Linked DNA regions of Sus scrofa. The protein of the gene in region 7 interacts with the protein of the main gene of each other region in a pairwise test. Links are inferred from orthologs where the notes say so. Each region holds a gene or a part of one and is shown on either strand. Other genes may lie near its edges.

What was found.
Region 1: the proteins of TRAF3IP1 (region 7) and KANSL1 interact in a two-hybrid assay, tested with the Homo sapiens proteins (2 studies listed by IntAct). The link is inferred for Sus scrofa from reciprocal best matches to the Homo sapiens genes TRAF3IP1 and KANSL1.
Region 2: the proteins of TRAF3IP1 (region 7) and SNAP91 interact in a two-hybrid assay, tested with the Homo sapiens proteins (2 studies listed by BioGRID and IntAct). The link is inferred for Sus scrofa from reciprocal best matches to the Homo sapiens genes TRAF3IP1 and SNAP91.
Region 3: the proteins of TRAF3IP1 (region 7) and FRMD4A interact in a two-hybrid assay, tested with the Homo sapiens proteins (2 studies listed by BioGRID and IntAct). The link is inferred for Sus scrofa from reciprocal best matches to the Homo sapiens genes TRAF3IP1 and FRMD4A.
Region 4: the proteins of TRAF3IP1 (region 7) and CCNA2 interact in a two-hybrid assay, tested with the Homo sapiens proteins (2 studies listed by BioGRID and IntAct). The link is inferred for Sus scrofa from reciprocal best matches to the Homo sapiens genes TRAF3IP1 and CCNA2.
Region 5: the proteins of TRAF3IP1 (region 7) and KIF5A interact in a two-hybrid assay, tested with the Homo sapiens proteins (2 studies listed by IntAct). The link is inferred for Sus scrofa from reciprocal best matches to the Homo sapiens genes TRAF3IP1 and KIF5A.
Region 6: the proteins of TRAF3IP1 (region 7) and WAC interact in a two-hybrid assay, tested with the Homo sapiens proteins (2 studies listed by BioGRID and IntAct). The link is inferred for Sus scrofa from reciprocal best matches to the Homo sapiens genes TRAF3IP1 and WAC.

The regions. Positions count from the first base shown.
Region 1 is NC_010454.4:16,953,581-16,957,130, reverse strand, and holds part of KANSL1 (KAT8 regulatory NSL complex subunit 1), read right to left. Parts: coding exon 2,437-3,550; intron 1-2,436. UniProt on the Homo sapiens protein: Non-catalytic component of the NSL histone acetyltransferase complex, a multiprotein complex that mediates histone H4 acetylation at 'Lys-5'- and 'Lys-8' (H4K5ac and H4K8ac) at transcription start sites and promotes transcription initiation.
Region 2 is NC_010443.5:82,539,602-82,543,812, forward strand, and holds the start of SNAP91 (clathrin coat assembly protein AP180), read left to right. Parts: upstream 1-1,410; 5' UTR 1,411-1,621; intron 1,622-1,656; exon of another isoform or gene 1,657-1,703; intron 1,704-1,806; exon of another isoform or gene 1,807-2,061; intron 2,062-2,206; exon of another isoform or gene 2,207-2,374; intron 2,375-2,415; exon of another isoform or gene 2,416-2,605; intron 2,606-2,897; 5' UTR 2,898-2,927; coding exon 2,928-3,057; intron 3,058-4,211. UniProt on the Homo sapiens protein: Adaptins are components of the adapter complexes which link clathrin to receptors in coated vesicles. Clathrin-associated protein complexes are believed to interact with the cytoplasmic tails of membrane proteins, leading to their selection and concentration.
Region 3 is NC_010452.4:48,015,763-48,019,312, forward strand, and holds part of FRMD4A (FERM domain-containing protein 4A), read left to right. Parts: intron 1-3,225; coding exon 3,226-3,454; intron 3,455-3,550. UniProt on the Homo sapiens protein: Scaffolding protein that regulates epithelial cell polarity by connecting ARF6 activation with the PAR3 complex. Plays a redundant role with FRMD4B in epithelial polarization. May regulate MAPT secretion by activating ARF6-signaling.
Region 4 is NC_010450.4:102,259,045-102,263,151, forward strand, and holds the start of CCNA2 (cyclin-A2), read left to right. Parts: upstream 1-1,301; 5' UTR 1,302-1,369; coding exon 1,370-1,582; intron 1,583-2,328; coding exon 2,329-2,572; intron 2,573-4,107. UniProt on the Homo sapiens protein: Cyclin which controls both the G1/S and the G2/M transition phases of the cell cycle. Functions through the formation of specific serine/threonine protein kinase holoenzyme complexes with the cyclin-dependent protein kinases CDK1 or CDK2.
Region 5 is NC_010447.5:22,815,528-22,819,684, forward strand, and holds the start of KIF5A (kinesin heavy chain), read left to right. Parts: upstream 1-1,333; 5' UTR 1,334-1,609; coding exon 1,610-1,738; intron 1,739-4,157. UniProt on the Homo sapiens protein: Microtubule-dependent motor required for slow axonal transport of neurofilament proteins (NFH, NFM and NFL). Can induce formation of neurite-like membrane protrusions in non-neuronal cells in a ZFYVE27-dependent manner.
Region 6 is NC_010452.4:39,931,738-39,935,843, forward strand, and holds the start of WAC (WW domain-containing adapter protein with coiled-coil), read left to right. Parts: upstream 1-1,265; 5' UTR 1,266-1,365; coding exon of another isoform or gene 1,366-1,568; 5' UTR 1,569-1,600; coding exon of another isoform or gene 1,601-1,607; 5' UTR 1,608-1,609; coding exon 1,610-1,650; intron 1,651-1,970; coding exon 1,971-2,007; intron 2,008-3,505; coding exon 3,506-3,719; intron 3,720-4,106. Other genes in the region: uncharacterized protein LOC100621751, read right to left, coding at 651-1,055, 1,366-1,568, 1,601-1,607.
Region 7 is NC_010457.5:137,908,579-137,912,842, forward strand, and holds the end of TRAF3IP1 (TRAF3-interacting protein 1), read left to right. Parts: intron 1-1,678; coding exon 1,679-1,844; 3' UTR 1,845-3,747; downstream 3,748-4,264.

The DNA.
Region 1 (3,550 bases), on a different chromosome or scaffold from region 7:
TTCATCAGGGATGCTCAGACTAAATCTAGCGACTTTATCTCTGGCAGAAGTACTTTAGCAAAGGAGTGAAATATGAACAGGCTACTGGAAGAAGAAAAAAGTTGAAATTCACCAGCTGGGTCAGGCTCCTGAATAGTTAACTAACTTCTTACTCCAGGACTCAAGAATTATAAATGTGATTAATGAGACTTGGGAGGGACTCTTAAATCACAAAGAAAAGGCTTCTCAGCATCCAAAGAACAATTTCCCATTTTTTCCTTTTTTCAATCAAACCAATGCCTCCACTCTCTCATTGGCCAATTGCAGAAAATCTTTAGAATACTCAGAAGGTGAACAAATACCTAGCTAAATAACAGCCTTAGGAGTCAGTCTGGTGATCCTGCTTATGAAGAACTTACAAGTATTTACACTTTACTGTTAATTAATTTAAATTCAATTATACCATAATGTACAAAAAGTGTATTTATTTGACAGTACTTTTAGTGCACAAACTGTCCTTACTTTAAAGCATGATTTAGTTGACTTCATTGTAAGAGAATTCAACTGATCCCAAAAAGTTTCCTAAAAAGATCCCTTAGCTGTCCTTATAATTCACAGCCTTCCAATCAACAAACCATTAAGTTAGAAGAATGCCCAAAACTAAGTAAATGAATGGACTAAAAGGTCTTTTCAAATCACTAGACTATCTCATGAAATAAGCAAAGTTCTCTCAGGTATTTTGATTACACTGGGTTGGAACAGTTACTCACAACATTATCAAAACAATGTTTTCAATACAATGTATCCTGGAAACAATAAGCTTATAGATTCTGGATGTTTTTCTTCCTCAGACAAAATAAATACACTAAGCCTAAAATGCTTCAACTACAGTATGTTACAGAAAATTACTCTTTAACACAAAATATTCAACTGTTAACCAAGATTTCTTACAGCAATGGTTTATGCAGGAAAGTCAGTGGGGATAATGCCACAAATACTAGCAAGCTTTTTTAAGGCACTAATCCATTTAAGGAAAGGTAACTATGTTATAGCAGTACCAAGGTTCTGAAATACACTTGCTTTAAACCTGAATAGAAAAGTGGATTCTTCATATGCCACAGGAAGTGGCCCTAGAAAAGGCAAAAAGTCCAAAAAAAAAAAAAAAAAAAAAAAGAAAGAAAAGTGGATTCTTGAGCCCAGTCATCTAACAAATGGTAATGGAACTTGGGCCACAAGGAAAAAATTCAGCAAAATTATCCACTTTTTCCCTTAGAAACACAAACCAAAATTCATACTCAGATACAGTGTTATCCATGTGAAATAACATATGCAAAACAGAGAAAAAAGGCTACCTACTTATGCTTAAAATTAAAAGGATAGCTATCTCAACAAAGTCTCCAGTGAAAATATTAGTCACCTTTAAAGGCAAAGGAAAGCCAATTTTTCCAATGTATCCACTTATTTCAGTTTTCTCTAGTAATTAACCTTTACAACATCCCTACCCAAAGAGGAAATGAAAGGGGATCTACTGGAGTCAACTCTCCTGTCCCTCTTTTCCAACCACTCTGGTTTCCCTCTCTCATAAGTCAAGATAAATGTAGACTGGTTTATCTTTAAGGAGGTACACTGTACTTTCTTGTTTATCTATAAAGAGCCCACTGCAGGATCAGGAGGGAAGAACAAAAGTAAAGTACCTCTGGCTCAACCAGGCCCACCTGGAGTACTACACAAAGCTTATGGACAACTTTTCTCAATCAGCAGATTTTGAAAAACTAGTAAGAATTTATCCCAAATTTGTCAATATATTTAACTGGAGCTCAGAGAAAATAAAATCCAAATCTGACAAAGATGATTTCTTTTAGGAAGAGAATCAAATTGTGAAAGCATATGGTGCTTGGAGGCAACCTATAAAGCATTTTCTTATTATTAGTCCATAAACCTCTGAAGTATCTTCTTCTTATTAGTCCTTAAAACATAAAGAAATCTCAAGTGAACACTTGGGTACATTCTCTACTGAAAGCTCAACTAAAAGCAACTATAAATTCCAGTGAACTTAACCAGGTCAACTAAACTTTTGGCCCCACTTAGTAAAAACAACAAAATCTGAAGTCAAGCCTTAGAAACTTACAAAAATATCCTATGAATAGTTTCAAAAGAAATCTATTCCCTCTGAAAGGATGAGTACAGTTTCAAACTAGATGCCTTCTAGTTTTTTCTTAATAAGATTTCAATGGGAAATTAGCAGCTTTTAGCCTACAGCAAGACAACACTATACCAAAACCATCCTCCATTTCTTCACTAGCAGGTCTATGTGAACCCACCTACCAAAAAATTAAGAAAAGAAAAAGACAAACGGAACCTAGGCAAAGAGCCCCTTTCTTTCCACGATGGGAATACATCAGGTTTTTCTCCCTTGCCCCAGCATTTCTCAAGAACATTAGGCATCATTCTACTCACAGGGGTACATGGCGCTGCTCAGGATCCGCTCTGGTCAATTCTTCCTCTTCGACATCAGACTCTCCTCCGGAACTACTGTCAGTGACGTCTGAATCAAATGCTCGTTCACTGCACCTCAAGTTGGCTATACCACTGGCTGTAAATCTCTCCAATTCTTCCGAAACCAAATCACTTTTCAGGAAGTTGCTGAGTCCTTCTGAAGTGGCCGTCTCACTGGCAGCTTTTCTCAATGCAGCTTCAGCCTTTCGAGTCAGCATCAACTGGCTCCGGGGCCTCAGGGATTCTAAGTTTGGCAGTTTGCTCAAAGTTTTCTCTAAAAATCCACCCAGCTGATGCTGTATGTGCCTCTCCACCTGCTTGGCTTGCACAACCTGTAAGCGCTTCTGTAACCTGCGGGCACGGCTCTCAATATCAGCCTGCCGCCTCAGTAAAGCTGTTATCCTTTTGTCAGAATCTAAAGCACTGAAAAGAATGGAAGACAGGGGAGACTTTTTACCCTCTAACTTGACACTCCCCAAGTTAGAACTAGAGTCTGTGTCAGGTGATAACCTACTGCTTCCTTGAAGTGCCGACTGTTCCATGGAATTTATAGAAGATTTGTTTGCAGTGCTATTATTGCTAAATATAGTTGTGTGTTCTACATCAAGGCTTCTATGTGGAAGAGTGCAATTGGTCATACCCCCCTTCAAGTCCCCAGACTCAGATGCCACCACTTCACCTCCCTGAAGAGAAGATGAAGTGAAAGCTCGTTTTCCCCCATTAAGGGGACTGGAATTGTCATGATCAGAATGTGTTGAACTTTTAGTCAATTTCTTTGCCAATCCATTTACAGGTGCTTGTGGCAGAGCTGTCTGACCACTTGTATTCATGGTTCTAAGATTTTCTAAGGAAAACTCCAAAACTGGCTGTCTCCCCAACAGCTCAGCTCGGAGTTCATAGGACTGAGATAAGAGAGGGTGAGATTTAAGTACTGTCTGCTTGCTGAAGACACCTTGCAATTTCAACGATTCCTTTGAGGGAACAGATGTTACATCGGAGCAGAGATAAGATGCCACCAATGGTTGCAGCTTTCCCAAGTCTTCCTTGGTAGGATTATTTCGGAAGTCTAGACTGG
Region 2 (4,211 bases), on a different chromosome or scaffold from region 7:
TATAATGATGGATTTGCCTATTTCTCCTTTTAATGCTATCAGTTTTTGCTTCAGTCCATTTTGAAGCTCTTCTCAACTTACAAACATGTAGGGTTGTTACCCATGCTTGAGGAATTTTTATCTTTATGAAATCTTCCCTAATATTCCATATTGTGTAGTCTGATCTGTCTGATAATGTTGCCAAAAGCTCTTTTTTAATCAGATTTATTGAGGTATAATTTACATACAATAAACTCACCAATTTTGTGTACAAATTGATATTTTGAGAAATACATGCAGTTGTGTAACTATTACAACCATGATATAGAACATTTCCATCCCTCCAAAAAGTTATCTTCTGACCCTCTGCAGTCAGTTTCTTTGCCCATTTTTGGCATCTGACATGCTTTGTCTCTATAGTTTTTGCCTTTTTCAGAATGTTACATAAAAGAATCACAACAGTAAGTAGCGTTTGGGCTTTTTTTCTTTAATGGCCACATCTTCAGCACATGGAAATTCCCAGGCCAGGGATCTAATGCGAACCACAGCTACTGCCCAGGGGTGTCACAGTTGCCACAAGGCTGGGGGTCCAACCCTTCCCCTCAGAAGCCCCACAGTTTCCTTCTTAACCCACTGCACCATAGGGGGAACTCCAGAAATGTGTTCTTTTATTTCTCTTGTTTAAATATCTAGGTGTGCTATTGCTAGCTATGGTAAAACTAGCATTTGAAACCTGGCAAAGGTCGTCATGCTTCTAATTAATTCTAGAATCAGTCCCAACAGTTACAAAGTCATGACTTTGTACTCAACATTGTGTCAGGTAATAGAGAGTAAGCAACAAAACCTTGACATCTCTAAGTAGATATTTTACAGCCTTAGGGCCTAATAGAGTCCACCTGTAGCCAAGAACTTTCACAAATGAAGTTCTGATCTTGACTATACTGTGAGAATTCAAAAGATTTTTAAGGTTAGGGTAAATAACAATCTTTGAAAATGTCAACACGAGAAACTATTAACCTAGCCAAATCCCTGAGCAGAAATCCATGTACGCAATTCAAATACCTAAGACACTCAAACACTACATTTAATTGACCGTAATTACTTAAAGGTACAAAGAGTTTTCCTTACAGACCCAAATGATTACTGTAAATATGATCTGGGACTCGATGGATGGTTTTGTTAATTATTTGTCTTTGTAGTAGAGGTCACTATCCATTTAATGTTAAGTGACTAGGATACGATGCTTATCCCAGCTCCCAACTATAACAGGGCCAAGTAAAAGACCCCCAAGGAGTTGAGGGAAGACGCCCCAGGTAACGGCGCGGTTGGCCAGCAGAATCTGACATTTTAAATCGCCCTGCCTATCTGGGCATCGGCTGCTTTCCACTGGCGGGCGAGTCAGATGTAGGGGAGGAGGGGCTGGGCTCTGCCAGGCACCTAGCGACGACGCCCCAGCCCAGGCCTTCACGGAACACAACTCCAGAAGCTCACTCTCCCGGCTGCGCCAACGCCCCCGCCGCCCTGGGCGCATCCCGCAGGCAGCCCTCAGGTGTGCGCGGTGCGCGCGCACGCACTGTCGTGCTGGGTGCGGGTCCAGGGAGCGGAGGGGCGTTTGCGCACCTCGAGGAGGGTGCTTGGCTAGGTAGGTGTCGGCCTCCCTGCCTCCCCGCCTCCTTCTCTCCTCGAGCCTGCCGGGGATGCTCGCGTGCGGCGCCCCCCGGCCTGTAAGCTCGCGGCTCCGGGGAACGGTGTGTGTGAGTAGCTGGGAGGGGGCCGCGAGGCGCTCGGCGGAGAGCTCGCCCGGGTTTGTCCGCCGCCGTCACCTGACTCTTTGGAGCAGCCACAGCTGAGGTGGGGGCGGGGATGGGGACGCAGCGCGGAGTGCTGGAGAGACGCGGCGGCGGGCGGGTGCGGCTGGCTCCTGGGGCCACGAGTGCGGGTGCAGAGACCGCGGAGCGAGGGCGGGGGCCGGGCCAGGGCTGGGGGCGTCGCGCCCCGGGGCACCGGGTCCGCGCGCGGCCGCACACACCCACCTGGCTCGACTTCCCCCGGCGGCCCGGGCTCCCCTGATTCTGCGGCGGGGTGAGTACTCGCGACCCCGCTCGGCCCCCCTCCTGGTGCTAGGGCCGCGCGAGGATCCGGAGAGGATAATCCTAGGGCGGGGAGAAGGGCAGCAGCCGGGTGACAGCTCCGCGGCGCGCCGGAGTGCCGGCGGGGGCTGGGCTGTCAGCCTGTCTCTGCTCCGCCGTCAGGAAGGGCGAGGGGCCCTGAGACTCCGGCGCCTCCGCAGAGCTCCCGGGCGGCCCCTGCAGCAGGGATTTGGGGGCGAGGGGAGGGGACCTGGACGAAGGGCCTCGGCCGGGCTTTGGAGACCGCGGCGGGGAAGGAAAGGGAGGTGAGCGCGTAACATGGCGCAACGCTAGGATAATCGCCGCGACCGAGGGAGGACGAGCTCATTGCTGCAGGAGCGCAAGAAGGAGGAGGGAGGCGGCCAGGGCTTGGGTATCCAATCCATTCTAGGAGGAAACGGTGCGGCTAGGAAGCGCGAGGTGGGCGCTTGGCAGGCGCGGCGCCCAGGGAATAACCCCGACGCTCGCGGGGGCTGGTCTGGCACCCGGAGATCAAGGTAGCAGGGAAAGTGCTGATGGACTGGGGTGCGCGGAGGGGTGAGGCAAGCAGCACGGGGGGTGGGGCGGGATCGGTCGGGGACATTGTCACGATGCTGGGACCGGAGCCCGCACTGAGGTTCCGTGACGGTCCTAGAGTCTTGCTCAAGACCTCCCCAGACCCGGTCGCCCAAGGTACCAGGGCGGGGACGGGGAAGAGAGCCGCTGTGCGGCTGGAGGAGGCAAGGTCTGGGTGTTCTGAGGGTAGAGTCTGCGGCTCAAAGCAGGACCGTCTCCCCTTCTTTCCCGCAGAAGAGGAGGCGGTAGACGCGGCCGGAGAAGATGTCGGGCCAAACGCTCACGGATCGGATCGCTGCCGCTCAGTACAGCGTGACAGGCTCCGCTGTAGCTAGAGCGGTCTGCAAAGCCACCACTCATGAAGTGATGGGCCCTAAGAAAAAGCACTTGGACTGTAAGCATCTCTTTATATAAGTGGGACATGCGCAAGGCAGAGGCACCCTGGATGCGGAGGGCAGGGCCTGAGCTCGCTGTCGGTAATGCTGCAGCCTTCAACTCCCAGCTGGGCTGCCTCTGTGCTCAGAACCTCCCATTGTGGAGGCCTTGCCTTGGGTCAGCCCTGAAACCTTGTCTTTGAATCCCTCCCCCCTTTTTTTCTTTCTGTTGACTCTCCAAGGTCTTGGTGGAGAAAAAAAAAAAAAAGATTATTAATACTTTAAGATACCGAGAAATCGTACATTCTGGATTAGGCACTTTTCACCTCCCCCCGCCCCCTTTCTCCATCCCCTCTCCAGTCCATATTAAAGGAAATCAGGGGTTGCACAGTCCTAACAACAATAACCACAAAAATGGGTTCAAGGAAGGTCAAACGTATCACCCTAGTTGTTTCCTAAATATATTTTGGATCATTTTTAAATAGTGTCTTTTTCAGTGCTGCTGCTGAGATTTGGTGTATGAGTGTGTGTTACATGTAACCACACCTAACTGAAATAAATTTAAGCTCTTGAATGAGGAAATTGCATTTCATAGATAATGGTGATTTCATTTTACACATCCTGGCACACTTCTTTGTCCCTTTCTCAGAAACTGCTGGGCGGAATGACCATGCTGTGGGTACAAAATGGACGTGCTTTCTCAGCATTTGAGAAGGTGCAGTTTTAAGTGAAAACATTCAGTTCATGATTTTTTTTTTTTTTTTTTTTTTTTTTTTTTTAGTATTGGTTGTTTGATGGGGAAAAGCATTAGTCTAGTTGGGAATCTATATATTTCTGAAATGAAGATTTCATTTGATTAATATAGTAAATTTTTTGTTGTTGAAGAGCAAATAAGGACCTTTAGAAAAAAGCTTTCGCTTGCTTTGAGTTCTGAGGTGCCTTATAATTAGAATATATTCCATTAGAATATATTCTGTAGTTGCTTCTCAGTGTTTTGGACCTGCTCAGGATCTGTGTATTGATAAAAGTCATCAGTGGCATGAAAGACACAGGTCTAGCCATACCCATTTCCCACCTGGCTTCCTTTGCCCATTTTTGGGTGTTTCTTTTGTGTGTGTGTGTTTCAGCTTCGGCCCTTCCCCAGAGTCTGCCTTGTGCAGCTGAGAAAATGGCA
Region 3 (3,550 bases), on a different chromosome or scaffold from region 7:
AACCAAGTGTAATGTCTGATCTGTGACAGAAAACAATCCCAAAAAAGGAGTTCCCGTTGTGGCTCGGGTGGGTTAAGAACCTGACATAGTGTCCATGAGGATGTGGGTTCAATCACTGGCCTCGATCAAGTGGGTTAAGGATCCGGTGTGACTGTGGCAGCTGCAGCTCTGATTTGACCCCTAGTCCAGAAACTTCCATATGCCGCAGGAGCAGCCATAAGAAAGAAAAAGAAAAGAACCCAAAAAGAAAGAAAATGGCAGCCATGTCAGCAGGTGCCAGGATGCCCTTGGCTGGGAGACCGTCAGGCCTGCCCCCAGAGGTTCTCCTCAGATCACCTCCAGGGCATGAGCAAGATGCCTGGCCTCCCTCGTCTGCGTTCAGAGAGGCTGGTGCAGCACCCCTCACTTTACTGTCTTAGGACTAAACATTGGCAGGGACTAGAAGCGGAGCGTGCAGATCTGGGCCGGAGCAGAGCCTTGGGTCTCCATCTGGTTAATAAGTTATCCAGTCTCAGACCGAGAGCAATTCAAGGCCAGGCACACTACAGACCCCAGGGGTGTGTCCAGGAAATGTCTTTCCTAATTTATGCCGAATACAGTTACTCATTAAAATGCTATCGAACAGGGGGCTGAAAAGGGAAGGAATTTAAGCCAGTGGACAAGGGGATATTCTGAGTGTTTAGTCCCTTTAAAAAAGTGAGAGTGGAGTTCCCTGGTGGCACAGCAGGTTAAGAATCCAGCGTTGTTACTGCAGTGGCACAAGTTCAGTCCCTGGCCCAGGAATGTCCCCATGCTGCAAACATGGCCAAAAAAGTAAAAAATAAAGGAGTTCCCGCTGTGGCTCAGTGGTTAACGAATCCAACTAGGAACGATGAGGTTGTGGGTTCGATCCCTGGCCTTGCTCAGTGGGTTAAGGATCCGGCATTGCTGTGAGCTGCGGTGTAGGTTGCAGACGCGGCTCCGATCCCGAGTTGCCATTGCTGTGGTGTAGGTCGGCAGCTGCAGCTCCAATTGGACCCCAGCCTGGGAACCTCCATATGCCGCAGGTGTGGCCCCAAAAAGCTAAATAAATAACAAAATAAAAAAATAAATAAAAAGTGAGAGACGCCACGGTTCTCACAGAACCGTGCGGTGGGTGAGTGTGAGGGTGGGTTCCAAGAAAAACACACGTGCCCCGGCATCAATGGAGGGGGCGTTAGTGTCCTGAGATCTGTAAGCAGGTCCCCCACCTCCTGCTGCATCCTGGTTTGAAGGCTCTTTCCATCTGCTGTAAAGTCAAGCTCCGGACCCTCCTCTCTGTGGACTGTCACTAGGATTAAGGGAGCCAGTGCCCGGAAATTTAACTCGGCACTTGACACCTGCGGATGCTCAGTAGACACAAGGACTTGTTAGCAGACAGGTGCTGGGCTGGGATTTTTTTGGGGTCAGAAGTGGGCTGTGGGCTGGTGGGGTTTCAAAGACCATCTTGAGGAGTCATTTTCTAACCCAGCCGTCATCAGGATTGCCCGGAAGCTCCTCCTCCTCTTGTGCTGGGAGACACCTGTAATACACTTTCCCAGGGAGACCCCACTTGAGTGAGCACCCCCCCACCTGTGTTCCTCTCTTCCCACGGTCACACCAGGCCTTTTCATGGTGCCTCCTTCGCACATTCCAGTAAGCGATGACTTTGGCTCCCCCGGAATCCCACTGCACCCCTGCCATCCCCACCAGCCCCCGCATTCACTGTTGGGAATCCCTGCTTCTCCTGGGAGTGCCCTTGGCCTCCTGATTCACACAGCAGGTAGCCATCTGTGCAGATGGGCCACCACCCTTGTCCCTGGCTCCATTTAAGTAGCAAGGATTTGTCCCGGGTGCCCTCAAAACCTCGGGTCAGTGTCCTGGGCCAGGGCTGGCCTGACTGCCCAGGAGCAGCTGTGAGGCAGAGTCACTTACAGAGCGGTCTTTGTCCTCAGTGGCTTGTTTGTCTCAAAGGCCCCGGGCGGGAGTCCATCTCTCTTCTTGTCCAGAGAAGGAGAAATTCAACGGCCACTTGAAGGAACTGGCGAGGCTGTTGGCCCCTCAATAGTTCCTTTAATCCTCCCCTTTCCCTCTCACCCCTGCCCCCACCTCAGGCTCTAGAAGTGTCTACAGGAAGTGCCCCCCAGCTCAGAGCTTTGTGCTTGATGGAGGCACCCAGCCTGACACGTGGTGCCACCAGAGCAAGGTGGTTCATTCAGCCTTAATGAGGAAGCTTTCTTGATGCCAGCAAACCTGGTGATCTGTGCTTCTATGGTCAGATCAGTTCTTTGCAGGCTTTAGCCAGATGGTGGATCCCCCAGAGCAAGGTGCATGCTTGGGCTCCCCTGGCCTCACTGGTCGGTGTTGGGGAGAGGCACTGGCTGAGTTGCAGAGAAGCCAGCCGCCAAGGCGTGATCCCCACTGTCATGCTCTGGGTCCACCTGGCATCTTCTGGTGCCCACAGCTGCATTTCTCCCAGGTCCAAAACTCCGAGGGAAAATTCATCCATGTGCTCCTTTTGGCCAGAGTAAGGGGTACAGGAAGGAGGGAAGCACAAAGGAGAGGAAGGACCGCCCATGAGCAGGGGAGCCCTCCTGCCCAGGCTCTGCTGCCCTCCGTCCACACTCCCGCGCGGCTGGTAGTAATAACCCAGCAGAGGTTCTATGTAGAGCCAAAGGTGAGTGGACAGCTGGCGTTGGGCGAAAGGAGCTGCCCAAGGAGGCGTGAGAAGGGGCTGATGCCCAGCCTGAAGGGCTCAAAGTGTGACAGATGGGCCCTGTGTTTGGGGAGATGTGCCCATGTGAGCCCCTCCTTAGCAAACTCAGGAAGAGCAAGACAAAGACCAAGCTAAAAAGAGTGCTGCCGCAGATGGAAAGGAAATGCCCACCCGGGGGGCTCTGGATCTCCAGGAAGGCTGGGTGTTGGAGAACCTTGCTGGAGATCTTGGAAGTGAACCCCCGTGACCCCAAGGCCTGCAGCAAGGAAGTTCTGCTTCTCGGTGATGGCGCCCATCCCTGGACCCACCTGGAACTTGGCTTGAAGTCCCGAAAGTGGGCGTGTCCAGGGAACCAGCTGCCCGGATTGGAGGGGCGGGGCCACTGCAGGGCAGGGCGGGGCCAGGGTCTCCCAGGACTAAGGCCCGCTAGTAGCGGGACGGGTGGAGGGGGAAGACTGGTGTCACCCGCCCTAGCATCCCGCTAAGTGTGCCCTCTGCCCTCCCTCCCACAGGAAGCCGAGCTGGAACGCCTGGAGCGGGAGTTTGCCATTCAGTCCCAGATTACAGAGGCTGCCCGCCGCCTGGCCAGTGACCCTAACGTCAGCAAAAAACTCAAGAAGCAGAGGAAAACCTCCTATCTGAACGCACTGAAGAAGTTGCAAGAGATTGAAAGCGCAATCAATGAGAACCGCGTCAAGTCTGGGAAGAAACCCACCCAGAGAGCCTCGCTGATCATCGACGGTCAGTGCGGAGCCCACTCCCTGCCGCGGGGGGAGGGGGAGGGAGCACCCTGCCCCCGCCCTCAGGGGACCAGGGGACGGGAAGCCCAGCCCCCAA
Region 4 (4,107 bases), on a different chromosome or scaffold from region 7:
CATATATGGGGGGAAATATGACTTTAAGGCTATGGAAGTTTTGTTCATTAATCTTAATTCATATTGATTCATATTCAGGTGAATATTGTACGTAAAGGGTGTTTTAAAATACCGTAAGGAAATAGAAAATAAGCTATTTTTTATGTTTTCAAGAAAGGCTCGCTCACACTCATGAATTTGTTGGAAAACAGTGCTTCTTAATTATATACCATTATAATTATTAGATATGTGCAAGCCTTGTATATTAAATGTTAGAATTTGTTAAGGCACATATTGCTAACAGAGTTTTATTTTAATAAGGTCATATTGTTTTTACTATATTTAAACATTCATTTCTAAATGGAGCACATAATTATATATAGATCACTAGAATTTTACTCTGCTTTTTGTTGGCTACCACAGCTTGGGAAAGAAAGAGATGAACATTAATGACCATCTAGTGGAGTTTTTTTGTAGTACATTACTCTTTGCTACATCTATCAACAGTAGTACAAGGTGGTACTTCAAAATAACTGCATCATCATTAGAAAAATAAAAAGCATGACTGTGCGAAGCACTTAAATGGTAAGATGATGTAGTCTGCCACTTGAGTATCAGTTACGTTAGCAGTGTGTTAAATGACTTATGCACGTTATTTAATACTAAGGACACCTATATAACGCATAAACATTATTACTCCCAATTAACAGTTACAAAACTGAGAATCAACATTGAAGTGCTTGAACAAGATCACCGGGCCAGTAAGTGGGCGGATCAGATTTTAGACCTTGAGAAACTAGTCAGTCGAGCTAACTGGAGGTCCTGAGGCTAAAGGCCAAGGTGGCCCACTAATAATTGTTAAAATTTAATTTAGTTTATTCTAGAGACAGCCCTTGCTCTGAGACAGGGACCCCCTAGTGGCTCCGTTTAAAGTCACAATAAGCTTAGGCCCCGCCTCTTTGCGCAGCGCGGGCGTACTTCCTCCTGCTGCTCACCGACTTTTCTTCGCCCCGCTCCGCCCCTGCTCGGTTTCCTTCGCGGCAGCCTTCACTTGCCTGCGACTGTGTCGCCCAGCGTGACGTCACGGGCCTTGGCCCTTATCATTGGTCCATTTCAATAGTCGCGGGCTACTTGAACTGCAGGAACAGCTGCCGCTCCGGCGGGCTGCTCGCTTCATTCCGGGGGCGTCCTTGACCCTGCACGCCCGGCAGCGCCTGCCTCCGGCTTTTGCAACCTCCTTGGTCCTGCACGATCCTGAGCAGGCGGGCGGGCAGGCTGGCCCGGGCTGTGGCGGGTAGGTAGGGCAGGAGTGTTCCTCGGCGGGTCGGCGGGACGCAGTGCACGCTGCTTGGCGCCGCAGGCTGATCCCGTCGCGCCCCCGGGAGCAGTGATGTTGGGCAGCTCCGCGCCCGGGCCTGTGGCCCGCGAGGCGGGCTCGGCGTTGCTAACATTGCAGCAGACGGCGCTCCAAGAGGACCAAGAGAACATCAACCCCGAGAAGGCTGCGGCCGCCCAGCAGCCCCGGACCCGGGCTGGGCTGGCGGTACTGAAGGCCGGGAACTCACGGGGTCCAGCGCTGCAGCAGAGGCCTAAGACGCGACGGGTAAATGAGTTATTATCTGGAGGAGGGTGGGCCAAGCGGGAGTTTTGCATGGGTTTGGACCGCAGAGGAGAGTGGCGAGGTAGCATCTCCTGGGGTTTTTTCGGGAGGCCAGTGTCGGGGGTCCCTTTGACCTCTGGTTTTCTCGAGTGTGGGATGCCACATTACCCCCATTCCTTTCTCCCATTAGTCTCCCTGCCAGCACTATGCGTTTATGTTGCCTGTCTGCTCTATGGAGAGTATTTTGCTATAGACAATAATGGTCAAACCAAATCCTCCGACGTTGAGTATGTGTTAAGTACGGTCTTTGCCGCCTCCGCGCCTTTCTCTCAGCTTTTAGGCCCCAGGCATTGCCCGGACCTCCTTCATGCTACCCACATAATTAAGAGATTACCTCTACTTTAGAAAAAGGTATAAAAAATACTTTGCTTTTGGACAATTCCGCCATCTTACCGAATTTGCTCTGTTGCTCCACCCTGGGGCGAAAGAGGTAAACCACTTTTTTGCCATTTCTCCTAAATTTGGCATCTTTTGGCCTGCCCCACCACCTATCTTAGCCCTGATTATTTTTGTGTAATCCGTTAGTGTGACTCTAAAACCTCTGCAGGAACGCATACTCAAATTTCCTTGCCTGAATTTTGCCCCATAAAGTTTAATTTTCCTGATAGAGTATTTGGAAGTAAATGCAGTATAAGGGGATGAAAGCCAAATTCCATTTAATAGACTCAAAGCCAGTTATTTATTTTTAGGTTGCGCCTCTTAAGGATCTTCCTATAAATGATGAGCATGTCACTGTTCCTCCTTGGAAAGCAAACAGTAAACAACCTGCATTTACCATTCATGTGGATGAAGCAGAAGAAGAGACTCAAAAGAGGCCAGCTGAATCTAAAAAACCAGAAAGTGAAGATGTCCTGGCTTTTAATTCAGCTGTTACTTTACCTGGACCAAGAAAACCACTGGTACCTCTTGATTACCCAATGGATGGTAGTTTTGGTAAGTTTTAAAGAATATCTGTATCAAATAAATGTAATCATAATTATTGCATAGGTAAGTTTAGAAAGGCTGTGACTTATTTCAGGCCTCACAGTTTATCCATGACCTAGTGACCTACAAAAGGATCTTAATCCTATACTCTCTGGTACACTATTAATCACATCAGTTTTATTAGATCTCAAACACTTACTTTAATCTGACCCTGGACATGTTGCTTGATTGGGAGAATATATTTCAATTGTATTCTTAAGATTCACTTTGTATATACCATTTCAAAGAGTGCTATTTGAGGATGTAGTTTAAATATTGTGATCAGGAGTTCCCGTTGTGGCGCAGCGGAAACGAATCCGACTAGGAACCATGAGGTTTCGCGTTCAATCCCTGGCCTTGCTCAGTGGGTTAAGGATCCAGTGTTGCCATGAGCTGTGGTGTAGGTCGCAGATGTGGCTTGGATCCCACGTTGCTATGGCTCTGGCGTAGGTTGGCAGCTACATCTCTGATTAGACCCCTACCTGGGAACCTCCGTATGCAGTCCGGTGAGGCCCTAAAAAGACAAAAGACAAAAAATAAATGTTGTGATCAACATCTCTTCCAGCTTTAAACTTTTGTTTAAAAGCAGTCTGAGTGATTGACTGACACCAGGGAGGGACATGGTTATCCTGTGAGTCACAGTTGAACTATGCTTTTTTGTACATTACCACATATAATAGATGGGCTCACTAAATCTAGTATATTTTAGTTCTGTCAATGAGAGGTATAGCAGGGAAGTCCTTTGAAAATAAAATAATTTGTGTACTTTTATTTAAAATGTACAGGAGTTCCCTTGCGGCTCAGTGGGTTAAGGATCTGGTGTTGCCATGTTGTGACTGGTTACAGCTGTGGGAGGGTTCCATCTCTGGCCTGGTAGTTGCCACATGCCCTAAAAAGACCAAAAAAAAAAGAAAAAAGTAAAATTTACAACAAATTTTAACCTCAGATTAAACCTTGAAGTAAAAACATTAATAGCTGATACTTTTTGCCTCCAAAGATAATCTAAATTTACAACAAAGAATCTCCCCTTGATTGTAGTGTTAATAGGTTGGAACTGCCCATAACAAATATAATTCTCTTTAGCACACATTAGCCTTCTAGTTACCGTCTAGATTGTGCTTTGAATACGTCAGACTTTGGGGTCTGTAAGCTCCCTTATGACAAATCCTAGGTATTACCTCAAAACTTGATTTTAACTTATTCTGACAGAACCGTTGTACTCCTGTCATGGGAGATGAAGGATACTTTAACAAAATATCTTTTCCTCAAATTCTTTTTCCTGTTAATGGCTTATCAGTATTTTTTTTTTTTTCTTGTTAAAATCATTCCAAAGCTAGGTGGACAGAGGTACGAAAATCAGAGTGAAATCCTCTATGTATTTTGTCATAAGAAGCTCTTTTTAGTTGGATAAAATAAATGCTTTGGTAGTATGGGACTCCTTACAAGGACAATCACTTTTAGCTTTAATTAGATAGAAAATTAAAAGTAACTTAATCTTATTTCTT
Region 5 (4,157 bases), on a different chromosome or scaffold from region 7:
AAGCCTCTTTCTCCATAGTCCTACTGCCTTCCTATCCAGTTTCTTATGCAGAACCCCTTTTCTTCAATTTCCTTAAGATTCAAGGTGGGTTAGGGGCATATGTTCAACTCAGGAAACACCCTCGGTTGCATTCTGAGTGATTAGGTCTTATCTGGCCAGGCCATCATTCTCTCATCCTTTCCTCATGGTGTCTAAGTGACCTTAAAAACTTACCAGACAATTGCTAGGCAGAACCTCCATCCCCTCCTCCCTTCTCCCATCACCCTGCTCCTCCCCTTGGCCTAGAGCCTCAATTCCTGCAGTCTAACTCTGTTGGCCAGCAGAGGCCCTGTGACGTGGAGAAAAATCAATCCAGCCAGCTTCTAGGTGGTTCTGCCCAGGGTCTGCAGCACGAGTCTGATCCAAAGGGAGGAAGGACAAGAAAGGCTTGGCATTTTTTTTTTTTTTTTTTTTTTGGCCAGGGAAAGAGAAGAAACAGAGGGAAAAAAAAAAAAAAGCCTGAAAAGGGGCTTGGGGTGTTGGGACTCTGTCCAACAGTTCTGGGACAGGAAACACACTCACGTAGGTGCCTAAACCTGCCTGAAGCCCAAATGCAGATGTCTGCCCTAGAAATCCTTTCTCAAAGCCCCTCTGGCCTTACCCACTCCTAAAGTCCTCCTCCATCACTGCTTTGTTCCTCACTTCTTGCAAAAGTTACTCTTGGCCCACCTCCTTCTCAGCCCCAACCTAGGAAGAAAAAATGAGAGTCTTATCTGCTTTTGAATTCTGATAACAGAATGGGAGTTTGTCTTCCTTCCAATTGGGGTCCTGGTGTGTATGTTGGGGAGAGAGTAGAGTGCATCTTTGCACGCAGAAGGGGAAAGGGGAGAACTCCCCTGACACCCTGAAAAATGGGACTTGAACACGCACTTCCTTCCATAGGGGTACAGGCAGCTGCCCTTGAAGGTTCAGTGGGTTGGGAATCTTTGCGAGGGTTTTTGTGCTCCCAGTTTGGAGCGAGGACTGTGATGAGGGTGAAGGATGCCTTGGAATGAAGGAGATGGAAGCACAGTTGACTCTTCCTGGGACAGAAGACAGGCCCACCTCAGACTCCTTAGCCCTTCCAGGGGGTGGAGGCCGGGGTGAGGGACAGACGGGTCAGGCATGTGGGGGGTGGAAGGCAGAGAGTGACTTGGGTGGGGAAGGGGTGAGGACAGGGTAATCGAGCAAGCGTTAGGGGTGGGGCGAGGAGGCGCGATGACAGCGCAGGTGCCTCGCTTGGGTGGTGGGCGCCGCGGAGCAGCACCCCCCAGCGAAGGAAGCCCCGCCCCGCTCCTCCATCGCCGCCCCGCCCAGGCCCGCAGCGCAGCGCTGCAGCGCGAGGGACCGAGAGGCAGAGCGCCCAGAGAGGACCAGACCTCCAGGTCGCCCGCATCCCCCGTGCAGCAGGAGAGAGGAAGCGTGGCCCAGCCCTGCTCCTTAGCGTTAGCCTGGTCACCCGCCACAGCTCCCTGAGCCTCAGAGACCGAGCACCTGTCCTCCGCCTCGGCCTCAGCTGAGCCCCTCTCCGCCGGAGCACTCGCGACCCCTGCAGCCGAAGAAGTGCCCCAGCCTCACGCCGGCGACCACCATGGCGGAGACCAACAACGAATGTAGCATCAAGGTGCTCTGCCGATTTCGGCCCCTGAACCAGGCCGAGATTCTGCGGGGGGACAAGTTCATCCCCATTTTCCAAGGGGACGACAGCGTCGTTATTGGGGTGAGTGCCGCCCCCGGAGGGAATTTCGGAGAGGGGACGGGGAGGCTGAATCTTTTACTCCGCAGAGCCCTAGCTCCTGCCTGTCTCTGCGCCCCCTCTCCGCTGCTCATCCTCCATCCTTTTCGCCGCAGCCCCTCCTCTCCCTGCATCAGGATGGCTGGGTGTGGCCTGGCCAGGCCGGCGGCCGAGTCTCCGCAGAGTGGGAGGGGGCTGCCTTCCCACGATCAATGCACCCAACGCCCCTTTGCTGCTCTCTGCAGCGTCCCCACCCCTAGAGCCAGTCCCGTGTTTTTCTGATGTTTTCCCTCTTCCCTAGGGAAAGAGCATCTTCCCTTTGTTATTGGCTCAGATCTCTACCCTCCAACACCCAGGGAGGGAGGGGAAGACTAGTGGGTGGGCTAGGTGGGGGATGGGCAGTCCAAGGTCTCTGCGGAGGTGTAAATGAAAGTGGACTCCAGGACCCCGGCCTCCATCATCCCTTGAAGTAGTTACAGCCTGGACTTGGGGGGAGGGCAGGGATCTGAGAAAAGGTTTTCGGAGAAAGAAATACATTGATGCCACACCCAGCTTGATGGAGGAGCCTCTGAGTCCTAAGGAAATGTCTGCCTTTCCCTCCCAGGTACAGTAGGAGGAGGATTTCAGACGCGCCGATTCACCCTAACAAATAAAAATAACCAAACCTGTTATCCTAACAAGTAGTTGCTTATTCATCCTATCTCTTGATAATCCAATAAAAAGTGGCAAGCCACCTCCTCTACCTCATCATGACAACCCCTATCCACAGAAGAGACGTTATTAAGAAGGAGCAATAGTGTTTTCTGTGGGCTCATTATGCTGCATATATTGTTTAATCCTTAAAACAACGCTCTGAAGAAGGTATTAATATTTCCATTTTACAGATGAGGCAATTGAGGCCCAAAGAAGTCAACTGACTTTCTCAAGGTCACACTGCTAATTCATGGATATGAACCTAAATCTGTAATTCCAAAGCTTATGTCTCTCCTTCTGTATATCACATTGCCTCCACAGATTTCCATTCTGGACTTTTATCTGGGATGACTCCAAAGGAATTCCTAGGGAGTTCCTCACCTTCCCCTCCTCTCCTAAGTTGGTAGGGACTGTCAGGCTATGGGATGAAAGGGTCTGGGGTCAAGTCTAGTAGGGCTTGAGGGGTGCTGGGCCAGGAAACTGTAGCCAGTTTGAGAAGGGCCCATATAAGGGCCGTCCTCAAGGTCAGGGGCACATCTTATGTATTTTTGATCCACAGTGCTGGGCGCAGGGAATGCTTGTGAAAAGGATGAAGGAAAAAAGGGAAGGGAGTCTGGGCCTTCTGAACCAGTGAGAATGGGACTTCGAGTAAACAGGCTGTAGGAAGAGATTTGCTTACATGTCTTGTCCCCAGGGGCTCTAGTTTGTCACCAGGCTCTCTCACCCACACTGTGAACTCAAATGAGTGCTTTTGCCTTGTGCATGTGCTGTGTATGTGTGTTTTTTTTCACATAGAGAGGGCCCCTGTCTCTCTTTGTCTCAAGGGCCATAGACCTTGCAGTCTGGTCTGTCTAGCCAGGCTAAAAGAATGCCTGGATCAACCCCTGGGGCCTCTTCTCTGAAGAGTCTGGACAGCAGGCATTAGCTGTGAAAGTAAGAGCTTGAGGGCCCCCCATAAAGCTTGAGAAAATAGAAGCAAGGTGGTTATGGAGGAGCAAATCCACAAAAGGCTTCCACTTTTAAGTCTATCTTCCTTGACTTAAATCTGGGTAAATCTGAACCATCTCCTTTAGGCTCTCTGGGCCATCCCTCTCTGGGTGTTGTTGGGAGTTGTGTTGATCTGTCTAATTTGCTCAGTTAAATAGGAGAGACTTGGTGAAAGCAGGAGGGAAGAGAGATGAAGAGAGACCCAGGGCCCCTGCCAACTCAGATCCTATCTTACGCCACAGCTGGTCCTTCTTGATCCGTTTTGCCTGATATTTGCAGGGCTGTACCTTTGTCTCACTCTGTATCTTCCCTTACCCTAGTCCCTCCTGTCAATCTCTCACACCAAGGTAAGTGCTTATGGGGGCCATTTTGTCTCAGGCAGCATCCTGGGAGCTCGTCTGCCCAGCCTTTCTATTCATTTCTCATTCAGGAGGATGAGGGCTAGAGGAGAAGTGATTTTGAGGAGCGCCTTGAGGGTCCCCACAAGGGAAAGAAATCCCCCACTCTTTTCTCTTCCTCTAGCTCCCTTTGGAGCCCAGGGTATGGGAAACTGACTGAGGAATTAGTGGAGGAAGCCGCTTCGGGATGTCTGGGAAGGTGAGGAAAGAATGAGGGTGGGAGAGGCTAATCTCTGCAAGCCCAACCCCTGCTCCCTTCTCTGACGGCTCTCCTCTCTGCTGCAGCACTGCGGCTAGCTCTGGGCTACAGAGTCTCTAATGTTTGT
Region 6 (4,106 bases), on a different chromosome or scaffold from region 7:
TTTTTCGATCAGTGGTGATTTCAGGGCCTTTTCCTCACATGATTCCGTATCTTCACTATGCCACAAATAATGCAACTGGTTGTATACCAAATAAATAAGTTTTTTGGAGGGATCTTGTTTCTTCTGACTTGTTTCCTATTTAGCTTTTTTCTTCCAGGTAAACGGCTGTGTACTTTATCATCATCTTTTTCACTCAATGTTGCCGTACAAGTTTAGAGCAGAAAAAGAAAACCATCTGAATACCAGTGCCCTCAAGTAAAGCCCTAATTTGGGGGTGGTGATACTTGATTTTTCCCCTCCCAATGTGCAAATGTTCCTATAGGGCCTGGAACAGTCTATAAAATGTAGTTTGCGGAGATTTCATTAAGCTCTCCCTAAGCCGCGCAGAACCTCCAGATGACTGCATTTGAGCGAAAAGGAACGGAAAGAGAGAAAAACGGGAAATAAAGGAAGGAGGGGGTAGGGGAGGAAACGTTAGGAGCAAGGATGCGGAAGCGCCTCGATTCTTTTCCCAAGTAACCCCACCCGTGCGTCCCAGGCTCGGTCGTTTTAACCCAAAGGCCGAGCGGCCCTCGCTCTTCCTCTGGGGGTGCAGGCCCCGCGCCCCCCTTGCTGAGGCTCGCTCGAGCACGCTTCCGGGTGAGACTTACTTTCACGAAGCCGAAGGCCCAGCTCCGGGCCCTGCCCGCGTACGGCGCCCCGGCCCGACTTCGGCTCCTAAGAGCAGGCCTGAGGGGCGTCCCCCCGGCGACCCCGCCGCAAGCCCGGGGCCGCCGAAGCACCAGGCCCGCGCTCTCCCCGAGGGCGCCCCCGCCCCCGCGCCGCTGGGCGCACGCGCAGCCGCCGCCGCCGCCCTTATTTAGTCCGCGATGGCTCCTCGAGCGCCCCACCAGCCTCCTCCCCAAGGCGCCGCCCTCCCCGCGCGCCCCAGGGCCCCTACGACCAGCCTCGGGCGGCTCCCCGAGCCCGACGACCCCTAAACTGGAACGGTGGCGGCCGGACGTACGCTGGGGTTCTGTGGCGGCAACCGGAAAGAGCTGACGCGCGCGAGGAGGCTAGCCAGGCCTCGGAGGAAGAGGAGGGCCGGGGTGAGCCGAGGTTTGCCGAAGGCGGCGTTCCGGAGCCGCGCGAGGGTGGGAGAGGAGGGGCGCGGCGGAAACTGCCGAGGGCTTCCGAAGGCCGCAGAGGCCGAGTTGCCCGGATGTAGTTGGTGGAGCGGCAGCGGCGGCACCAGCGGCGGCGGCGGCAGGAGGAGGAGGAGGAGGAGAAGGACCCGAGCGGCGGCGGTGGCGGCGGGGGGAGGAGGGGCGGAGGCGACGGAGAGGGAGGGGGAGAAGGCGGAGGGGGCAGTCGCTCTCCGCGGGCCGAGCCGGACGCGTCTTCTTGCCCCCTCCCCCCGGTTCGCCGCTGCCCGGCTGAGCGAGAGCGTGGTGCGGGCGGAGGGAGATGGCCCGGGAGCGCCGGCGCCAGTAACGGGGAGGTGCTGAGCGTCGTCGGGGCGCGCCGGGCCCTGTGCCGCCGGAGGCCGCCGCCCGCCGCCTGCGCGCCCGCCGCCCGCCTCGCGGCCGCTGTCCCCCCTCCCCGACACACGCTCACAGGCCGGGCATTGATGGTAATGTATGCGAGGAAACAGCAGAGACTCAGTGATGGGTAAATCGTCTTTTCGTTTCGGGCCGGGCTGCGGGCGGGCGGCGGGGGGGCGCCTCCTTATCTGGGGCCGGCCGCGCCGCCATTTTTGTTGTTAACCCTGCTCGGGCTCTGCCGGGGGGAGCGGCCGCGCGGGCGGCGGCGGGCGGCGGGCGAGTGCAGGCGGGCGGGCGCGCGTGTGAGTGTGAGCGCGAGTGAGCGCGTGTGCGTGCGTGTGAGCGCGCGGGGCCCGACCGGGCATTCGCGGGAGCGCGGGGCGGCGCGGGGTTCCGCGGGGGCCGGGCCGTGCCCGCGTCTCATGTCGCCTCTCTTCCTGTTTTCAGCTGTCACGACCGGAGGGGGGACTCGCAGCCTTACCAGGTACCCGCGAGGCGGCGGAGGGCCGGGCGGCGGGCGGGCTGGGCGGGCGGGGGAGGAACTGCTACTCGAGCGCAGGCTTCGCGAGTCGCTGCAGGCCCTTCGGGGCCCCGGAGCCCACCCGGGCGTCGCGGGCCCCCCGGGCCCCGAGCTCGGCGCCCGACGGGCCCTCGAGACTGATTTTTGACAGGTGACCGGGGGGGTGGTCAGGCTTTTTTAGGAAAAGTCGTTCTCGGCTAAGAACGACCTGACTCGATTATTTGTATGTGAGGGGATTGGTGGGGCGAGGTAATAGGGGATTTCTCAGCCGGCTTTATGTGTGTTGGGGAACTAAAAGTTAAGGTGAAGCGACGGAAATGAGGTGGAAGGCCAGGGAAGAAGCCACTAATTGATTGGCAGCTCTGAAGTGTTTTGTAAACCACTACCCCTTCCTAATTTGTTTTTGGTGCAGTTAAGTGCCTTACTAATGAAAGATGGCGCTTTTGTTTCTATAGGAATTGAGGTCTTTGGATACTTGGGTAATTCATTCTAATGTAGACGGTTCTAGGTACATAGGTTCCTCTTTGTTGTTGCAGTCACTGCATCTAAAATTTCAAAAAATTATGATAGACGTGGCCCCACTTGTCCGGGCCGTCGTGGGGGTGGGGTGGGGATAATGGTTGGTAACTCAGAGGACCCTAGAAGTAAATACTTTCTACATCAGGTTTCTAGGCTGTTACATCTGTTCCTGACTACCATGGGTTGTTAAAGCTCAAGTTAAAAAAAAAAAAAAAACCCTAGGTCCTCTGTAATGTGTTAAAAGATTAAACCCTGTTGAATCAGGCCCTCTGAAATTTAATTAATCACACATTTTAAGAGACTGCTACATCATCATTGTCTTAAATACGTTAAAGATGTCTACATATGCTAGATTATTGCGAGGGAGTTCCATTAAGTTCCACTAAGATAATGTCAGAAATATCAGTCAGCATTTTTATACCTTAATATTGTTTCTGCCACCTGCAAGAGTAGTTGTTAGGTCTGAAATGCTTTGCTTAAATCCAAGAATTGGAAAACCTGATGGGTTCTCTCTCCCTTTTTTTTTGTTGGTTTGCAGAAACATGTTTATACTTATTTATATGCATTTCAGTTTTAGAGCAGAAACAAATTACAGTAGTACTCTGACTCTGCTTTTCTTTAAACTTTTTAATTTCCAGAAAAATTTATTGAGAAGTGAATGTCCCAACATGTTTGATTTCTTGTATTTATAAGATAATTTGTTTGATTTCTTGTATTTATAAGATAATGAATGGGTTTTTTTTTTTTAACATAAGGTATTACAACTTGAGGAGCCTTATAGTAACTCTTAGGCATTTAGGTATTGTCTGTAAAACTTAAAGGTAGACCTGAAAGAGGAAATTTTAGTTTTATTGATCTAAACTCATAAAACATAAATTATATACCAAATTTTGTAATGAAATTAATTTAGAAAGTTTAAGATGTCAATTCTTTCTTTCTTTGGGGGGGTGATGTTTTACAGGCACTTAAGTATTCATCGAAGAGTCACCCCAGTAGTGGTGATCACAGACATGAAAAAATGCGAGACGCCGCAGATCCTTCACCACCAAATAAAATGTTGCGGAGATCTGATAGTCCTGAAAACAAATACAGTGACAGTACAGGTCACAGTAAGGCCAAAAACGTGCATATTCACAGAGTTAGAGAGAGGGATGGTGGTGAGTAGCTTTTTTTGTTTAAACTTTCACATGTATTTATTCTTAGTAAAAAATTTGTATAAAACAAAAGGTATACTATATCTAGCTTCAAGGTGTTACTATATGCTTATATCAGAATATTTTATTTTTGTTGATTTACTTAATTCCTAAACAAATTTCTGTAGAAATAAGATTCTGACCTGAGTGAGCATCTAAACGGTGACTGAAGTGGCTGGTAGTTAGAGGAGTCATTTATGCAATGTAGTCTGCCAATGCTTTATTAGTGGTGAGAGAAGGGCTGGACATTTTTCCACAAAAGGAACTTTCACCTTTTTTTTTTTTTTTTTTTTCTTGTCTTTTTTCGTTTTCTTGAGCCACTCCCGCTGCATATGGAGGTTCCCAGGCTAG
Region 7 (4,264 bases):
GGTGGAGCTTAGGGGCGTCTGGCACTCTGTGGCGTGATCAGTGGACCTGGCCGCAGGCAGCTCTGTCAACTGCTAACTCTCTTTTTGAGAAAACGCTTGAATTGGCTCGGGGATCTGTCTGTAAGCCCGTGTAACTAAAAGTTCAATTATAGTGAAGCTCTGCTATCTGTTACTAGTCTGCTTATTCTTAAAAGTCCCTTAAATTTAGCGGCATGACAGAAGTAGGCGGTCCCTGAGAACTTTTTGGTGCCTGTTCTGACGAGATAACGCGTCAGCCCTTGGCGCAGGTGGGGGGGCCTTTTTTTTTAGGGCCACACCCACAGCGTATGGAAGTTCCCAGGCTAGGGGTCGAATCGGAGCTGAAGCTGCCAGCCGACGCCACAGCACGGCAGCACGGAATTCAAGCTGTGCCTGCGACCTACATGACAGCTTGCAGCCACTCTGGATCCTTCACCCACCGAGCAAGGCCGGCGATCAAACTTGAATCCTCATGGATACTAGTTGGGTTCATTACCGCTGAGCCCCAGTGGGAACTCCTGTTGGCACTTCTTACATTTTGATTTAAGGTATTAGAAAGTATCTCCCCAGACATTTGCTTCCTTACAGAACCTGATTTTGCTTTATGTAGGATGGTTGAAAACTGTCACTGTTTTTGGTTATATTTTATTTTGTATTTATGTGCTTTAAAAACCTCAGGTGGGTTTTCCCGCTGTGGCCCAGCGGGTTAAGAACTCAGCTGTAGCAGCTGGAGGCTCAGGTTGCTGCGAGGTGGGGGTTTGATCCATGGCCTGGCGAAGTGGGTTAAAGGATCTGGTATTGCCACACGTGTGGCTCAGATTCATTCCCCAGCTCGGGAATTTCCATAGGCCATTGGGTGTGACCATAAAAAAAAATTTTTTTTTAATGGAAATAGGAGTTCCCATTGTGGCTGAGTGGGATAAGAACCTGACACAGCCTCCGTGAGGATGTGGGTTAGAGCCTGGCCTCGTTCATTGGGTTAGGGATCCAGTGTTACCGTGAGCTGTGGTCTAGGTCACGAATGCGGCTGTGGTGCCGGCCAGCAGCTGCAGCTCCGATTTGACTCCTGGCCCAGGAACCTCCATATGCTGCAGGTGCGGCTGTAAAAAGAAAAAGAAGAATACATATGAAAACCTAACGGGAGAGGTTATTTTTGACTTCAGCTTTCTCGGGTACATTCTAGACGTTTCCTAGCATTTAATCCAGGAACTCAAAGGCCTCCTGACTTGTCTTGAACAAGCGAGGCAGAGGGGCCGCCGCAGGAAGCCCTTGAAGCTGGAGCGCCTCTCCGGGAGGTGAGGGCCCGTGGGCTGTCGGCTCGGGGTGTTGCGGGCCCCGGGCTCAGCTCCCTGCCGTCCTCAGGCCTCTGCAGCATATGCGCCTTCAGGAATTCGAGCCCATTCCTTTAAGAAACATAAGCCTCCTTTGTGTAAAGTCCATGTTCGACTTTGCTTTTGGTTGTGGTGTGTGCATGCACGTAAGAAAAAGATTCCTCCCAGGCGTGCAGTTCTCCTCCCTTTATGTCGTTCTCCAAGAAGGGTTTGGTTTTTACCCTTTTTCTTGGGGTGCCGTGTTGTCGCTGTCTTTCACTGTTTTGGTCAGGGAGCAAAAACCCAAAGCGAGCAAGACGCTCACGAGCCCCTGGCTTTGTCTTCCCCAGCATCACGGACTGCGCCGTGGAGCCCTTGAAGGCGGAGCTGGCCGAGCTGGAGCAGCTGGTCAGAGACCAGCAGGACAAGATCCGCGCCGTGAAGGCCAGCATCCTGAGGAACGAAGAGAAAATCCGGAAAATGGTGCACAGCATCAACTTGAGTTCCCGACGGTGAAGGCACACGACGCCGAGGACTGAACGTCGCTGTCCTCGGTGTGCGAGTAAAGCGGAGAAGATAGGACGGCGTTTCCCCTGAGGTTTCGGGTTGGAGGCAGGGAGCGGGGTTCGCTGTTAGCCCGCTGACTTTCCGCGCCTGCAGCCCAGCTTATTCCGTGTCTGAGAAGACCGTGCCTGCCCACCTTCCTCTGGCTAGCGTGCTTGCCAGTTATAAAGAGCTCTGCAAAGCGCCCGTGCGAGAAGTGTCTTTACGGGCCTGTCCTGGTATTTCTGCGGCAGGCTGCTCTGTTCGGTTCTGTGCCGGGTCCTCTGGCGGGAAGCCCAGGGCGTAGGAGACCTTGACCTTGGACTCAGCCCAGGGAGGGCTCCTCTGCTGAGCGAAGGAGGCTGCACCTCCTGACGAGCACTTGCCAGGGAGGCCCGAAGAGGAACCCGTTGCATTTTCAGCTCATTTCCACTTGGAAAGGCTTCGGTTCCGCTCACGTCCTTAGAAGGTGCCTGTGGCCTTCTGTTTTCAGCCTCTTGGGAGCTGCATGCGCTGCTTCGTGTAATTTTCCTCTGGGTCTCTGCTCGCTCTGGCTTGTATTTCCAGCCCTGGCAGTTCACACACTTGGCAGGGAGCCCTCGGAGTGGCTTTCACGGCTGTCGTCTGCACGGGAGCTCGTCACAGGCCGTAGCCTCACTCTCCCCAGCATTTACCCTGGCCTCCCCCACGCACCTCCCAGCATAGCTGGAGGGAGTCCTCGGCCCTGCAGATGGGGGGCTGCTCGCCACCTGTTCCTTCCCACAGGCGCACACCTGTGCCCCGAGAGGCCGGGAGCTTGGGGGAAACTGCAAAAGGAAGATTGTAGCGGGGGCGGGTTTACTGAAGGTGTTGATGTTACCATTTTTTAAATTGTTTTTAAAAGCAGAAGGTTTTTTTTTAAAGCATCGTTTACGTGTAGTTTTCACCACATGTGCTGTTGTAAATGCTAAGGCCTGAGGTTTGCGGGTGAAGACTCCCCTGCCTGGAGACAGGGGTCCTCAGGTCTGGGACCTGACCCTTTGCCTCTAGATACCGCGTGTACCGCGCAAGCCAAGGAATTGCCTGAGGAAGCTTTGTTTCTTTAAAAGGTCAGCACAAAGGGCACAGGTAAGGTTTTCTTAGGGTAATTTCCAAGCTGGACCTGTTACAGGGAGGTCGTGTGATTTTCTGAGCTGAGTTCAAGATCAGCTTATTAAGATCTGGCATCTTGAAACACCGGTCCTTTCCCCGCTCTGCACGGCGCCTGGGATTCTGTTGGATCAGATGGCCCGACACCTGTCGTTGGGGGAGGGGAGGCGCGTCCGCTCCCGGCCTTCCCTCGCGTGTCCGTCCTCGGTCCCTGCGACGCGGCCGCAACCCCACGTGGGCCCTGTCTTGCCCCAGGTGAAGCTGTCTGCCTTTTCTCAGTCTGTACAGAAGAGTAGAGTTTTTGTGGCAAAAGAGTGCAGACCTTGTATGCGAGTAAAATTTTGTATGAAGTAGTTGATCAAATTGTATCATAAAATTTATTTTTCTTTTATACATAAATCATTACAAATAATCACCTATTTTTCTATAAGTGCATGGGTTGCAAGTTCGGTTCACACCTGGAAAAAGCATTTATAAGCGTTTGGATTGTTTAAATGTTAAAGTGTGTGCGGTTTGTTTTTCACTGAAGCAAGTTCAGGGAACTGTATCTTTTCATTCATATTGTGACAGCACTTTTCTGTATAAATGGAAGTTCCTTAGGGCAGATAAGCATTTATCAGAAACTTTAAGATCGCTCATGAAGTTTTAGAAAGATTCTGCATGAAGGTATTACTGTATCTTTTCAAAAATGAATTAAATTCCGATGTTATTTATTGTTTTGATAAAATACACCAATGGGATTATCACATGTTTTCCTCTGGTCTGTAAGTTTTCAGAAAGTACTGGATTCATACATCAGAAATTTTGACTTAAAGGGTGAGCTGATACTAATTTATATTTAAAGGAAATGTGTCAACTTTTGAAAAAAGTAGTTTAAAACTAAAATTCAAGCTTTCTGCTTTAGTATTCGTACAGACTTTTCTTTCCAGTAAGCAACTTAAAAAGAGGAGTGGCTGGAACCTACAAGGCGGGACGCTGTTCTTTCGTGACGCTAAGTGCAGGGTGGCGGGGGGTTGTCGGGAATCTGTCGAGTGACAAGCGCCCCGAAGGGTTCCCGGGCCTCTCTCCCTGCTGACGACGTGTACCTTCTGTTGACCCGCTCAGCGTCATGGCTCAGGGGCGAGAGGAGTGGGCAGCTTGTGTCACGGTCGCAGGCTCAGGACGACCGGTTTGCTGGAGCTCCCACAGGCGTCGGGTTCAGGACGAGGGCGCACAGAGCGCAGCGTGGAGGAGGGGTTTCTGCACAGACCGGGCCTCCCCCACCC